4 linked regions of the Saccharomyces cerevisiae S288C genome follow. The gene in region 3 interacts genetically with the main gene of each other region. Each region holds a gene or a part of one and is shown on either strand. Other genes may lie near its edges.

Evidence for each region.
Region 1: mutations in SNF4 (region 3) and ORM2 together harm fitness more than expected from each alone (negative genetic interaction), as found in Saccharomyces cerevisiae (4 studies listed by BioGRID).
Region 2: mutations in SNF4 (region 3) and FAT1 together harm fitness more than expected from each alone (negative genetic interaction), as found in Saccharomyces cerevisiae (3 studies listed by BioGRID).
Region 4: mutations in SNF4 (region 3) and OPI3 together harm fitness more than expected from each alone (negative genetic interaction), as found in Saccharomyces cerevisiae (6 studies listed by BioGRID).

The regions. Positions count from the first base shown.
Region 1 is NC_001144.5:826,801-830,523, forward strand, and holds ORM2 (sphingolipid homeostasis protein ORM2), read left to right. Parts: upstream 1-1,929; coding exon 1,930-2,580; downstream 2,581-3,723. Other genes in the region: DIC1 (Dic1p), read right to left, coding at 177-1,073; NIT3 (putative hydrolase), read right to left, coding at 2,689-3,564. UniProt on the Saccharomyces cerevisiae protein: Component of the SPOTS complex that acts as a negative regulator of sphingolipid synthesis. Acts by inhibiting serine palmitoyltransferases (LCB1 and LCB2) activity.
Region 2 is NC_001134.8:315,828-320,899, forward strand, and holds FAT1 (long-chain fatty acid transporter FAT1), read left to right. Parts: upstream 1-2,438; coding exon 2,439-4,448; downstream 4,449-5,072. Other genes in the region: ATP3 (F1F0 ATP synthase subunit gamma), read left to right, coding at 1-683; FIG1 (Fig1p), read left to right, coding at 1,141-2,037; CST26 (putative acyltransferase), read right to left, coding at 4,589-5,072. UniProt on the Saccharomyces cerevisiae protein: Acyl-CoA synthetase required for both the import of long chain fatty acids (LCFAs) (C14-C18) and the activation very long chain fatty acids (VLCFAs) (C20-C26) by esterification of the fatty acids into metabolically active CoA-thioesters for subsequent degradation or incorporation into phospholipids.
Region 3 is NC_001139.9:290,385-294,144, reverse strand, and holds SNF4 (AMP-activated serine/threonine-protein kinase regulatory subunit SNF4), read right to left. Parts: upstream 2,113-3,760; coding exon 1,144-2,112; downstream 1-1,143. Other genes in the region: YGL114W (uncharacterized protein), read right to left, coding at 1-685; ubiquitin-protein transferase activating protein CDC20, read right to left, coding at 2,504-3,760. UniProt on the Saccharomyces cerevisiae protein: Adenine nucleotides-binding subunit gamma of AMP-activated protein kinase (AMPK), an energy sensor protein kinase that plays a key role in regulating cellular energy metabolism.
Region 4 is NC_001142.9:571,172-574,656, forward strand, and holds OPI3 (bifunctional phosphatidyl-N-methylethanolamine N-methyltransferase/phosphatidyl-N-dimethylethanolamine N-methyltransferase), read right to left. Parts: upstream 1,765-3,485; coding exon 1,144-1,764; downstream 1-1,143. Other genes in the region: GTPase NPA3, read right to left, coding at 1-953; Ran GTPase-binding protein MOG1, read left to right, coding at 1,924-2,580; HOC1 (alpha-1,6-mannosyltransferase), read left to right, coding at 2,810-3,485. UniProt on the Saccharomyces cerevisiae protein: Catalyzes the second two steps of the methylation pathway of phosphatidylcholine biosynthesis, the SAM-dependent methylation of phosphatidylmonomethylethanolamine (PMME) to phosphatidyldimethylethanolamine (PDME) and of PDME to phosphatidylcholine (PC).

The sequences.
Region 1 (3,723 bases), on a different chromosome or scaffold from region 3:
AATGCTGGTTATCTATGTATCGGGACATGGTTGCAACGTTTCCAACAAGAACAAGAATAGAAAAAAAAATACCGAAAGCGTCCTTTGCGTTATACCTACCAACCGTGTACAAGCTTTACTCTTCTTGCTTTCTTTATTTGCTATGTATCTTTATGTTTATATGTATATAAATCTGCCTACTTGTCTTCCTTTGGCATGCCAACCCTATGTTTTTTCAATTGCTCAATTGCAAAGAAAATTAACATTGTGAATGGACCCAGTCTAGTGAAACTTGGCAACCACCCCCGGAACATGAAAGATGGGCCCTCTTTGCGGACAGCGTCGGCAAGGATCTTCAAAGCCGGTTGATGGTCTCCGCTGCCGTTCATGATACGTGTCTTCATGACGTCTGCTGGAGAGCACACAGTGGTGGCCACCAGGCCAGCCAACAGGGACGCTGTCAAGTGTGTATAGTTCTTGGATGCGTCGAAATCTAATTTTGTGACCAAGTAGTTCTTAAACACGTCATACGTAACGACCTGACTTGCCGTCATCAGTATGCCCCTAACCATGTTAGGCTTCCAACCGGTAAACAAGGTTTTCAGTCCACCCTCGTAGCGATATATCTTGTACACACCATCGATAGCGTTTTTGTAGTTTCTCCTCTTCGCTGCCTCCAAAGCAGAGTCGTTTTGCATTCTGATATTTACAACATCTGCAAAATTCCCTGCAAGCCCCCCAATGGCACCACTGAACATGGAGCAAGGTAAAAGATACGCCATGTTAGTCAATTGCTCGCGTGGGATCACATTCTCTTTCAACAAGTCGTATGCACCGAATCTCACCGTCGTGTATGTACATTGCCTCAACACAGCAGCGCTCAGGCCGGAATATAACCCCACCACACCTTCATTCGCCAAGATACTCTCCAACATCCTGAAGAGTGTGGGCTTGGGCATAGGAGCCGCCTGCAGTCTGACTTTGGCCAAGTCAAGAGGATGTGTCACCATGGTAGCAAAGATACCCGCTGCACCTCCGTACCACCATGGATACTTGATATTCTTACCGGCAGACTCTTTTGCGTTGGTTGACATGCCGTCCAGCTGTTGCGTTATCTTTTCGACACTTTCAGAGCAAGAGAAACGAACCTCTACACATAAATATGCATACGATTATGTATATCCATATATATATATACACTACAAGCCGACCGCCCGACCGTTTCCTGCCCCCAACATTGCAGCGTAATCGCTTGCCAAAGACCACACCTTGCAGCCCTTTTATACAAACATGTCTACGACGTACAGTGGAGAGGGCCCTTTCCTTGGCACTCAACTGAGATTGCGACGCGATACCTTCTGCGACCGTTCCTACTATCGCGGCCATAACTCCAACAACGACAGCGGATGCGCTGTTCTGCGGATGCGTGACCGTATCCGCAAAGAACGAAGATTAAATTTAGGGTCCCCGGCATTGAGGATGGTTCTGCCAAGAACTCACGATATAAACCAGTTGGTTGAGCATCGCATGGATGAGTATGGCGTATTTTGATTGCTCATATATAGTGGGGGGGAATACTCATGCTGTGAAAAGCACAACTCTTTTCACTCAACGAGGTTAATGCCTTCTTTGTCTCCACGCCGTTTTTTTCTGGCGCCCTTTTGAGAAAGATAGCCTGTCCCGTAATCGTGGCTTTGGCAGAGACAGAGGGTGAGCGAAAGAGCGGGCGAAACCGAGAATGGATTCCGAGTAAAGGATTGCGATGGCATGAAACAAAACCGAGAGGCACTCCTTGTAAGGACACACATACACAGACGTAAACATATATATACATACGTATACTCAAATATATCTTCGTATCATTAGGTCAGCTTCTCTCTTCCGCACGTAGAATTAGAGAATTAACGCAAGACTATACCATTATAAAAACGCATAAGAAACAGTTTCATCATGATTGACCGCACTAAAAACGAATCTCCAGCTTTTGAAGAGTCTCCGCTTACCCCCAATGTGTCTAACCTGAAACCATTCCCTTCTCAAAGCAACAAAATATCCACTCCAGTGACCGACCATAGGAGAAGACGGTCATCCAGCGTAATATCACATGTGGAACAGGAAACCTTCGAAGACGAAAATGACCAGCAGATGCTTCCCAACATGAACGCTACGTGGGTCGACCAGCGAGGCGCGTGGTTGATTCATATCGTCGTAATAGTACTCTTGAGGCTCTTCTACTCCTTGTTCGGGTCGACGCCCAAATGGACGTGGACTTTAACAAACATGACCTACATCATCGGATTCTATATCATGTTCCACCTTGTCAAAGGTACGCCCTTCGACTTTAACGGTGGTGCGTACGACAACCTGACCATGTGGGAGCAGATTAACGATGAGACTTTGTACACACCCACTAGAAAATTTCTGCTGATTGTACCCATTGTGTTGTTCCTGATTAGCAACCAGTACTACCGCAACGACATGACACTATTCCTCTCCAACCTCGCCGTGACGGTGCTTATTGGTGTCGTTCCTAAGCTGGGAATTACGCATAGACTAAGAATATCCATCCCTGGTATTACGGGCCGTGCTCAAATTAGTTAGTTGGCTCTGCCTATACGCATATATGTATATATATATATATATATATGTATGTATGTGTATATGTATATGTACGTATACCTTACATCATCATCTTTCTTTATATTCTCTCTAATGCGCATTTACATCGGAGTACACGTCAAATCTTCTTTGTTTGGTTAAGGGTACCGCTTGTCTAAATGACTCAATGACTTCGGGATCTAATTCAGCATAAATAATCTCTTCTCCCTCGCCAGCTTCAGCTACAATCTTGCCTCTAGGGTCCACCACTATAGAGTGGCCATATGCATGGTAAGAACTCTGTAGATTCCTTGCGGGAGAACATAACATCACGTACACTTGGTTGTCAACTGCCCTGCTTCTTGCCAGTAAATGCCAATGCAAGGGCCCTGTGACAGTGTTGAATGCACTAGGGTAGATCATGGCAAACGCACCCTTGCGTGCACTTAGCATTGCGAGTTCCGGAAACCTCATGTCATAGCATATACCTACGCCAAACTTACCATATTTCGTGTCAATGGTAGTAGACTTCTCTCCAGGGCTCAAGGTTTCACTTTCATGGAACGATATACCGTTAGGAATGTCTACATCGAAAAGATGGACCTTCCGATGCTTGTCAATCAACTTGCCATCCTCGTTGAAAATTATAGAGGTGTTGTAGATTTTGTCTGTCTTTGGATCCAATTCCGGAATTGTTCCTCCTACCAAGATGATTTTAAACTTATTGGCTAAATTAGACAGAAATTGAACTGACGTCGAAGGCTCTTTCGGATTGATAACTTCTGAATACTTTCTAAACTGATCAGTGGAGTACGGAGAATTGAAGCATTCTGGCAATACGACCAACTTGGTATCCGGCTGTTCCTTCATAGCCCTTTCAATGAACGTTGCAGCCCTTTGAAGATTGGCCATTTTGTCAGGACTCGAGCCTGACAGTTGGACCAACGCAACTTTAATTTTTTGTGAAAGAATCTTCGAAGCACTCATACTGGCGATCTTCACGCCCTCCTGCTACTACAAAAGCTGTGTTTTTACAAGAATCAAATTAAGTTAGCAAGATATCATACAACATTATTGATAATTTTAATATCGTGTTCGTACCTGATGACGTATCTGTGCATTGATAAGGCCCGCATGGTTTCAGAA
Region 2 (5,072 bases), on a different chromosome or scaffold from region 3:
ACAAGAACGCCGAAACCAAAAATTTGGATGTTGAGGCTACTGAAACAGGTGCTCCTAAAGAGTTGATTGTTGCTATCACCTCTGATAAGGGGTTGTGTGGTTCTATCCACTCTCAATTGGCTAAAGCTGTGAGAAGACATTTGAATGATCAACCAAACGCCGATATAGTCACTATTGGTGATAAAATTAAAATGCAGCTATTGAGAACCCATCCTAACAACATTAAATTGTCTATTAATGGAATTGGTAAAGATGCCCCAACTTTCCAAGAATCTGCTTTGATTGCCGATAAGTTATTGAGTGTCATGAAGGCCGGCACTTACCCAAAGATTTCCATTTTCTACAATGACCCAGTGTCTTCCCTATCTTTTGAACCATCTGAAAAACCGATCTTTAACGCCAAGACCATTGAACAATCCCCATCATTCGGCAAATTTGAGATCGACACGGACGCAAACGTTCCAAGAGATTTGTTTGAATATACTTTGGCTAACCAAATGTTGACAGCAATGGCTCAAGGTTATGCTGCTGAAATTTCCGCCAGAAGAAACGCTATGGATAACGCTTCCAAGAATGCCGGTGATATGATCAATCGTTACTCTATCTTGTACAACAGAACAAGACAAGCTGTCATTACTAATGAACTGGTTGATATTATTACTGGTGCTTCCTCTTTGGGATGATAAAAAAATCACCCTGCATTGCCTCTTTATTTGACGTTGTTTTTGTAGAACATGAAACGAATTTTGACTTGATGAGACGAAGTATATATCCAAAGAATACCTTAAATAGAAAAGGAAAGATAATAAATACTAAACACTACTATATATTCAGGTAAAATACAAAAATTATAACATTTTTAAAACTTTTTTTTTTTGAAAGTCCTTCTCGCTTTAGGATTTTTTCCCATTAAGATTATGATGGTTTCATGTATGTGTCAGTTAAAAAAAATATGGCTAAGTAGCAATGAAACGAACCAAGAAAATGAAAACAATATATAGTGCTGTTGAAATAACAAAGACATTGGTATATATTTGTAAAATGTCTGTTAAATGTTTTTTATCTCAGGTTCTTGCTTGTCTTTGGTAGAAGAAATTATAGTAAACAAACAAACAAACAAACAAAAAAAAAAAAAAAAAAATGGTCGCAATCTCAATGATTTGGTTTTTTACCAAGCGTATGCCCAGAATATTTGCATTAGCTTTTAATTTAATTTCAATATTTCTTTTGATTTTTCTTCTCATCGGCTGTTACAACCCGTCAAATCAGTCAACATTTCTAGTGAAGTATAAATTTGATGACAACTCACCTTTTTATACGATCATAGAGAAATCATATGAAAAATCAAATACAACTCTGGGCTTGGAGGAAGTCATTATAAGATCCGGTTACATGGGTGTTTGTATTGATAACATTCCCTCCCAATATAGCTCTTACAATAATATGACTACATTCTCCAATTCAATTTGCTATGCAAGAAAGAATTTAAGCTCGGTTCCCTTATACAGAGACTTGGAAATTCAACTCTCAAATATTGCATCTTCCAGCTCCAAAACCCAATCAAGCGTTGTCTTGAACATTTTGAAGTTAGCCCAATTAACTTCGGTTAATGTTATACATCCATATGTCTTGATGGCAACTGTAATCCTAACAATCCTAATGTTTCTATTTATTCTGTATGTAACTGTCCCTAAGTTACCATTCAAACTAGCGGTTAATAAATTTCTACTGTTGCTAAGTTCAACTATAGTTTTGACATGGGGTATTGGTGCGATGTGGACTCATGTAGGGATAAATGCAAGTTACAGATTGGTTCCATCATCAAGTATGAATATAATCACTGTCAAGAAGGGCAAGAAGGCAGCAGTAATGGCTTGGTTTAGCTTTGCATTCCTCCTTTTAGACAGTGTGGTTTTATGGTTAATATTTTTAAGGGATAGGAAAAGCTTGAAAGATGAAATTGATAATGTTCCATGTGCCCAAAATAGGTACAATAACTACTCTTCGGATTCATCTACATTGCATTCCAAAGTTTAGTTTTATCCTCAAATAAACATATAAGTTTTGAGCGGATATTTCAGAATGTCAATTTTTAAAAGTAAAAGGAGAAAAAATTTATATAATTCACGATTAACATTATATAATGTGATGAACTACTTAAAAAATTTAACGTTCGATAATTAAGTAACAACAGAGAAAATATGAGCTTACCTAAACTCTAATCATTACCGTCTGTTTTATTTACTGTCACCTTGATGAGCGACTAAAAAGATAGAACGCGGGTTTTTCGCGCAATGTAACAAAGCTCCAGAAATTTTTTATAAATACTAATGTTATAGCAAAAAAAATAAGGACCTTAAAGTCGTAAACTAAATTGAAAAGCCCAAATCATTCAAATTCTATATCGTTGAACTTTTAATAGGCTGCGAATACCGACTATGTCTCCCATACAGGTTGTTGTCTTTGCCTTGTCAAGGATTTTCCTGCTATTATTCAGACTTATCAAGCTAATTATAACCCCTATCCAGAAATCACTGGGTTATCTATTTGGTAATTATTTTGATGAATTAGACCGTAAATATAGATACAAGGAGGATTGGTATATTATTCCTTACTTTTTGAAAAGCGTGTTTTGTTATATCATTGATGTGAGAAGACATAGGTTTCAAAACTGGTACTTATTTATTAAACAGGTCCAACAAAATGGTGACCATTTAGCGATTAGTTACACCCGTCCCATGGCCGAAAAGGGAGAATTTCAACTCGAAACCTTTACGTATATTGAAACTTATAACATAGTGTTGAGATTGTCTCATATTTTGCATTTTGATTATAACGTTCAGGCCGGTGACTACGTGGCAATCGATTGTACTAATAAACCTCTTTTCGTATTTTTATGGCTTTCTTTGTGGAACATTGGGGCTATTCCAGCTTTTTTAAACTATAATACTAAAGGCACTCCGCTGGTTCACTCCCTAAAGATTTCCAATATTACGCAGGTATTTATTGACCCTGATGCCAGTAATCCGATCAGAGAATCGGAAGAAGAAATCAAAAACGCACTTCCTGATGTTAAATTAAACTATCTTGAAGAACAAGACTTAATGCATGAACTTTTAAATTCGCAATCACCGGAATTCTTACAACAAGACAACGTTAGGACACCACTAGGCTTGACCGATTTTAAACCCTCTATGTTAATTTATACATCTGGAACCACTGGTTTGCCTAAATCCGCTATTATGTCTTGGAGAAAATCCTCCGTAGGTTGTCAAGTTTTTGGTCATGTTTTACATATGACTAATGAAAGCACTGTGTTCACAGCCATGCCATTGTTCCATTCAACTGCTGCCTTATTAGGTGCGTGCGCCATTCTATCTCACGGTGGTTGCCTTGCGTTATCGCATAAATTTTCTGCCAGTACATTTTGGAAGCAAGTTTATTTAACAGGAGCCACGCACATCCAATATGTCGGAGAAGTCTGTAGATACCTGTTACATACGCCAATTTCTAAGTATGAAAAGATGCATAAGGTGAAGGTTGCTTATGGTAACGGGCTGAGACCTGACATCTGGCAGGACTTCAGGAAGAGGTTCAACATAGAAGTTATTGGTGAATTCTATGCCGCAACTGAAGCTCCTTTTGCTACAACTACCTTCCAGAAAGGTGACTTTGGAATTGGCGCATGTAGGAACTATGGTACTATAATTCAATGGTTTTTGTCATTCCAACAAACATTGGTAAGGATGGACCCAAATGACGATTCCGTTATATATAGAAATTCCAAGGGTTTCTGCGAAGTGGCCCCTGTTGGCGAACCAGGAGAAATGTTAATGAGAATCTTTTTCCCTAAAAAACCAGAAACATCTTTTCAAGGTTATCTTGGTAATGCCAAGGAAACAAAGTCCAAAGTTGTGAGGGATGTCTTCAGACGTGGCGATGCTTGGTATAGATGTGGAGATTTATTAAAAGCGGACGAATATGGATTATGGTATTTCCTTGATAGAATGGGTGATACTTTCAGATGGAAATCTGAAAATGTTTCCACTACTGAAGTAGAAGATCAGTTGACGGCCAGTAACAAAGAACAATATGCACAAGTTCTAGTTGTTGGTATTAAAGTACCTAAATATGAAGGTAGAGCTGGTTTTGCAGTTATTAAACTAACTGACAACTCTCTTGACATCACTGCAAAGACCAAATTATTAAATGATTCCTTGAGCCGGTTAAATCTACCGTCTTATGCTATGCCCCTATTTGTTAAATTTGTTGATGAAATTAAAATGACAGATAATCATAAAATTTTGAAGAAGGTTTATAGAGAGCAAAAATTACCAAAGGGTTTGGATGGAAATGACACTATTTTTTGGCTCAAGAATTACAAGCGCTATGAAGTCTTGACCGCTGCTGATTGGGAAGCCATCGATGCACAAACAATTAAATTATGATTTGATGTTCCTGAATTAGGATAAAGTATTTTTCCTTGCACGAGAGTACGTATGTAAACGTAATATTGATAAAGAATCAAAAAAAGTTTTATATCTATCTATATATGTACCTAATAACATATGGAAAGGATTATTTAAATTCAAAAAATAAAACAATAAAGTTTATAAACTAACCAAATTATTGTTAGAGTTGGTAATATTAGCACTTCAGTTAACTCAATACGATTGATCTTGAAACTATCGGTAACTGAATGGTTTGTTTCAGGATCACTTACGAATGATCCAGTGGAATAGTACCTTTCCATTAGAGCATCCTTCTCACTCCAAATTTTATACAGCCATTCTGAAAATTCATTCTCGTCCTCTAATGGAATATCTTTAACATCAAATGCTCTGATGTGAATATCGACTAACTTCGGGTATTTTCCTTCTAAAAATATGCTCTTCAGCCCATATATAAGCTCACCATATTCCTCCTGTTTTACACCGGAGTAGCCGATCGTAATATCATAAAGACTTTCAATACTTGGCTTCAACTTTTGTAACGAGTATCTTAGGCCTGTAGAATGAGGCAGTAGCACATTCTTGAATGGCTTTTTGCCTATTTTGGCAGCATATTTAGCA
Region 3 (3,760 bases):
GTTCGCTATGAGAAGAGTTCATTAAATAATCCGCCTCCTCTGGATCTCTGTTGGGTTGTAGCACTTCAGGGCATTCATTCAATCTCCTCTGCCTCATTTCCAATAACTCTGACTTAGAAACCTCTTGTAAAATCTCAGTTCCATTTAGCACTGAAATTAAAGTGGCCGTGGCGCTACCACTGGGGAAGGGAAGTTTCTCTCTAACAATTACTTGCTTTCTTAGAGGAACTGCAAAAAAAATACCGAAGAATGCTAGGGCTGTGGACCATATTAACAATTCTCTAAAAGTGAAGGACTGTCCTTGTTCCCTTAATCCACCACTTTCGTCGTTAGTAAGGAACTTCTCGATGGCAGGTATGACGCCGACAAACCCAAAGGCTAATGGGCCTGTTCCGACAGCTACTGCCATACTTTGTACGTATACATTTTCAACGTCACTGAAAGGCCTGTCGTTCGGAAATATTAATGGCCAGATATTTTTAAAGAAAGCACAAGCTAACAATGCCGATGGCAGGGACATCATGGAAACCCAACCGGTTTGCAGGCCAAATTGAAAATTTGATGTTAGCACCAGAGACCCTATAGCGATACCTGCTATGGTTGCTCGGAGTGTTATCTGCTTCAAAGCAGGTTTATTATCCCATGGTACACGCTGTACTTCTTGACTTGGAGTAGATTGAGGCATTTCAAAGTATTTACAGTACCGATTTAGAATCTTTAACGGTTAGTCCTCTATACTGTGACTCTTTTTCTTCCTATCTTGGTGCGAAAATAAAAAAAATGATGCCTTGAGATAGATCTCACGAAAAATACCTTCTACGGCGTTAAATTTACAGCTTTTCTTTAGCTGCCTGTACCTTTTTGATGAACTAATTTATTTTGGTATCAACAGACAATACTACAAAAGGCTTTGCATTATCTTCCTTCACCCTTATATGCAGCATTCCCCCCTCCCAGAGATCGCATCAGTATCATTACTAATCGATTTTTCACTTCGCTTTATAACCGAATTTCCGCCGAATTATACCCAAAATAAGCAAGATGAAAATATATTGGTCAGATGAAGTATGCATGACTGATTAATCATGACTTTATTAGTTGCATTTATTTATAGTATGTACACAAAAATCTCATCGGCTCGTTTCAGTTGCTACCTAGAAGGATATATTTGAGAATATCGCTTAACGTCAAGACACCAACCAACCGTCCGACGTCATCAACTACAAAGAATCTATGCACCCTTGCTTTTCTGATGTTATCCATAATAGTAGATAATTTATCATTCTTAGTGCATGTATAAACACCCTCAAAATCATCACTTCTCCTCATAAGGGCTTCTCCGACGCTCAATGACAGGTCGTTGTAGATGCCTCCTTTTATCAAGCCTAGGACATCGTATGCTTCATATACGTTGATTAAGTAGCCGTTTTCGTCAATAATAGGGACGGAAGAAACCCGACCTTGGGTAAGCATCTGAATGACGTCTATGACCGGAGTGGTCATTTGACAGCTTTTCATGTTATCTTGCGTAATAATGTTCAAGTCCCCAATTGGAATCTTTAGAAAATGTGTTTCCCTGCAATTTAAAGCAACGAACTTCAGAATTCTATATTGCGTAAGAACACTAACGACAATTTCTCTATGTGTCTCTTCATCTTGATCGATCAGTGGTATTCTACCACTTCTTGATTCTAACATCTTAAGACACGCCTCAAATAAGGGTCTAGAAGGATGAATTGAAGCTGTATCTAGTTGATCAACACCGAGAGCACGCTCTATATCTTTTAATCCATCTAACTGTAATTTGTCTACTAATTCGAACTTATCTGGATTGGAGAAGTAATACTGGATGACATTAATAAAATCTGTAGTAGTTAGAAGTCCAGCGAACCTGGAAGTCTTGGAGTCCCATAATGGCGCAGAGACAATGCTATTTTGCAAAAGAACATTCAGTGATTTCTTCACTAACAACGAGGTGTCCAAGACAATTAAACGGTAAGAAACAGGCAACACGTCATAAGATGTTTTCGAGTTCAAAAACTTCCTTATCGATTCTACAGCTAACTGCTGTTCAATAGAAACCTTTTCTTGTGAATCCTGTGTCGGTTTCATTATGTATTTTCCTTTTCGCTTCCTCCTAATGCTAACACAGCAGAAGATGTTTAGCTAACGTTAAAAGATTGATACAATTTTCCAGTTTGCAGCAAAACCACTAGCCCAAGAAGTTCTCAATGTAGATATTATGTTAATAACGATTATTGCATTGCTATGGTTTCTTCCAAGGCCTAAATTTTGTTATTTGCTAAATTTCTCTCCCTCCCAGTTCTCGCGCGTGTGGTGTGTGGGTTCTTTAACATGTGATGAGTTATATCTTGATGTATTCTCAAGGTTCATTACTTTTATTTCTTAAGCTTCTTGAATACATTTATGTTTATACATTATGTATGCGTGTATGGAAATTTCATTATATGCCTTGACATGAACTTTTATTTTTTTTATTTTATCACCTGATCAAATATTGGCTGGTACTAGAGGGCCTCCTTGTATGAATCTCACTCGAATTTTTGGAACGATTCTCCTTATCATTTGTTCGACAACCTTCCTTGCCAATAAGTCCTAGCATACCATCCATCAATCCGTCTTCTCTCGATCTTCCTGTACATCTTGGATCAAATATCTTATAAAATTTTAAGTTTTCATCTCCTCCCACTGTGGCCAATGTGGTTCCGTCAGGGGACAATTGAGAACAGCATATTCTTGCTTCATGAGCATGAACTACTTCTGCAACTTTGAATTTTGTTTCATAATTATAAACAGAGATTGCATTCTCTGGATTACCTCCTGTGGCAACAATCTCTTTATTCATCATACCACCATTGGTTGACGTATGACTTTGGCCCCAATGTAAAGAGCTCACCTGGGATCCGGTATTGATTGAGCCAACTCGTGCACCTGTGATACTGTTCCAAAAATGGATGTGTTTATCTGTTTGTCCGCCTCCAGAGGCTAGAATATTTGGCGAATATGGACACCAGCTTAGTGCTTTTACAGCAGCAGTATGCGTCTTCTTGGAAAATTGAGGCAAGGACGTTCTGGTATCCCAAATCATTACAGTGTTATCATTACCACCAGATGCAAGTTGCAATCCGTCACTTTTATAGCTCAAACCGCAGACTTCGCCTGTGTGCTCTGCCCATGTAGATACAATATGCTGTTTGATCCTGACATCATTGATTTGAATTTCTCCACTACGACTGCCTGTAGCTATCAAAGTATCTAACCAAGACAATGAACCGATACGGACACCTAAGCCTGATCTCATAGTTCTAATTAATGACATGGTCTCAACGTCCCAAATTTCGGTGTTCCCATCCTCTTTACCGATAGAGATATGACAATCATCATCAGACCACGTAACGCTGCATATTGTGGTGTTTTCGAAATCCGTTAACAGGGAAACATCCCCAGTGGTGGCATTCCACAGATATAATGCAGTGTCTAGTGCTATAGCTAAGACATTTTTTTTGGACCAACTTAACAAGTTTAAATAAAAGTCGTCTTGGAAACCAGGTGCATCAAGAATTCTTTCCGGATTGGTATTGATTTTCCTTAATTTAATTAAATCAGGAATTTTTTGTTCCTGCTGATAACTATAATGTGTTCTTTTCTTCATGATATAGCTTTTTTGTCTCAAGGAAGAGCATTTTGGTGGTTCCGGCATGTATTGTAGTATTCTTTTATTCATATCTAACCCACACGC
Region 4 (3,485 bases), on a different chromosome or scaffold from region 3:
TCCTCTTCGAGGTCGCTAATGGCATCTATGCTGTCGTTGTCGCTGGCTGCAGCGCTGCTCTTCTCGTTTAACCCTAGATCCTTCATCAGGCCATTCAATGATTTTTGCTTTCTCATCTCTTCCTTTTTCTTTTTTAGGTTCAATGCTTTTTCACGTTCTTGCTTATAGTATTGGTCGTATTCATCAACTTTCTTGTCTACGCATTGCATAAATTCGTCGAATCCGTCTCCGGTAAAACTGGAAACGCCCACGACGTCTAGCTGGGAATAGAATTCTTCAAGCATCAGTGACATAGAATTGACCAATGAGCTCATGTACCCGGAGCCCAGCCCATTGTCACCATTCAAGTCTTGATCTTCCTTGATTGCTGCTTGGAAACTCTCAAAATCCGTCATCCATTCCTTAGCAAAATCTGCCTTGCACACGTCGGTCTTGTTGAAAACGACAATCATGGGAAGTTTGGTCTTATACAGAATGGAGCAGGCGTACAGCATGTTACTCATGAATGTAGTTGGGGATGAGTTTCTAGGCGTATCCACGATATATGCAATCACTGTGGGAAAGCTGGAGGCAAAAGATTCCGTGATAATGGCACCCGACGCACTCCACACAAAACATTCGATTTGGCCTGGAGTGTCGATGATGCAGTTTTGGAACTTGTCCTTCTTCTGTTCCACCAACCTAATAACTTGATCAATCTTGGTGCTGAACAAATTCAAACTGGTGACAATGGCACCGTTCGGACCTAGCTGGTAATTCTCCATCACTTTCTTGTATTTGATTGAGTCTCTGATATCGATGTTTGCACCATAGGGGACTCTCAATACTGCAGGATCAAGATTGATTACGTATGGTGGCGTTTTCTCTGCCCGCAAGTGGGAGTTTAACCTTTGCATGAAAGTTGTTTTACCGGATCCGGCCATACCAATACATATGATTGTGCTGAGACTCATTCTTGCTGTGTCGTTATTGCGTTTTGTAGTTGTTTGTGTGCGCTAGATGCTCTCATTGTATTCCTTGTTAAATAGAGCATCGCATTAAAATTTTTTTTTTTCACTTTCGCGAAGAAATTGCTTATGGAGCTATATAGAAACGGTAATAGCATAGGCTTCTAACATTATAGAATATATAGAAATAGAGCACTTACATATTCTTTTTGGCCTTATCACGGTTAGCGTAGATCATGGCAGTAAAAGGTTCTTCCCAACGAAGAGCGATCTTGTACATGAAGTAAACTACGGCAGAAACAACCAGCCCCGCAGGCTTTCCTTTGTAAAGGGCTATGCCCAAGAAGGACAAAGTGGAACCCTGGTACATGGGGTTGTTGGAAACGTTGAAGGGGAAGCCGGTGACTCTCTCATCCATCAGGATGCCGAAATAGTCACCCAAGTACGTCCCTGTGATACCCAGCTTGTACATGGAACTCAAAACAAGCACTTGCCCCAAACCAAAGAGAGCCACACCCAGCTTGGTCCAGTTCTCGCCCGTGATCAGAGAACACGTAGGCTGTTCACGCAATGCAGACTCGTACACCATGTCTCTGACGATACCTAGCGAAAATATGGTCGCCGCCAACATGTAACAGCCCTTTCTGGCCCCACCACACATCTTGGTGAGAGAATGCTTGTGGTATTCCATTCTTGCAACGATGTTCCAAAAGATAGGATTGAACATCGTGCACACAATGGCCAGCTGGAACTTGGAAGACTGTAAATCGACACTGTGGATGAGTTGCTGGATGATCTCTTGGACTGACTCCTTCATCGCTTGACTTGCGCTATTCTTGTTGTCTTCAATTGCTGTTTATGGCTCTGTCCAAGAACGTTCATGTTCTTCATATGTGTTCTCTTATAAAGACCCCTTATCCAGTGGTCATTGCAGTGGCAGTGGACAGAAACCAACGATGCATGTGTGGGTTTGCATATGAAGATTGAAAAGGCTTCTCATATTTCACAACCGGTGCAACTTTCCACATGCACTCTCATTGACACCTACCCTGGTCATCAAGGAAGCATGAACAACAAGGAAGTCGAATTATACGGCGGCGCCATCACTACTGTCGTCCCACCTGGGTTTATAGACGCTTCTACTCTAAGAGAAGTCCCCGATACACAGGAGGTGTACGTCAATTCCCGTCGCGATGAAGAAGAATTCGAAGATGGACTAGCCACCAATGAAAGCATTATCGTGGATCTCTTGGAGACGGTCGACAAGAGCGATCTGAAGGAGGCTTGGCAGTTCCACGTGGAAGACCTGACGGAGTTGAACGGGACCACCAAATGGGAAGCTTTACAAGAAGACACTGTTCAGCAAGGAACCAAGTTCACCGGACTCGTTATGGAAGTAGCAAATAAGTGGGGAAAACCAGATCTGGCACAGACCGTTGTCATCGGCGTAGCGTTGATCAGATTAACCCAGTTTGACACGGATGTGGTCATCTCCATTAATGTACCTTTGACAAAGGAGGAGGCGTCGCAAGCAAGCAACAAAGAGTTGCCTGCAAGATGTCATGCTGTTTACCAATTGTTGCAAGAAATGGTACGGAAGTTTCACGTTGTGGACACGTCGCTGTTTGCTTAATCTTTCAAATTTTAACCTTATGTTTATATTACCTTTTTATTTCTACTATATAGCGTATTACATGTTTTTTCCGATAAGTATAACGAAATTTCCCAGCAGCGAAGAAAGTGAAAAAATAACAGTGACCATAATGAACATTCCTCTCTTTCCATTTTGCACGTATTCTTGCAGAGAAGAGGCACTCTACTCGGAAGACAGCAGATAGATATATAGACTGTAGCGGTTAACGATGGCCAAAACAACAAAAAGAGCCTCCAGTTTCAGGAGGTTGATGATATTCGCCATAATAGCCCTCATCTCATTAGCATTTGGAGTTAGATACCTATTTCACAATTCTAATGCTACTGATTTACAAAAAATTCTGCAGAACTTGCCCAAAGAGATTTCCCAAAGCATTAATAGTGCCAACAATATTCAGAGTTCGGATTCTGATCTAGTTCAACATTTTGAGAGTTTGGCTCAGGAGATCAGACACCAACAGGAAGTTCAAGCAAAGCAATTTGATAAACAACGTAAGATCCTGGAAAAAAAAATCCAAGACTTGAAACAAACACCTCCGGAGGCCACCCTAAGAGAACGCATAGCTATGACTTTCCCCTACGATTCCCATGTCAAGTTCCCAGCATTTATTTGGCAAACTTGGTCCAATGATGAAGGTCCCGAGCGTGTTCAAGATATAAAGGGCATGTGGGAAAGCAAGAATCCGGGCTTTGCGCACGAAGTGTTGAACCATGACGTGATAAACGCACTAGTACACCACTACTTCTACTCCATACCGGAAATCCTAGAGACTTACGAAGCTCTGCCCTCCATCATCCTAAAGATAGATTTTTTCAAATACTTAATACTGTTAGTTCATGGAGGTGTTTATGCTGACATCGACACGTTCCCTGTTCAGCCAATTC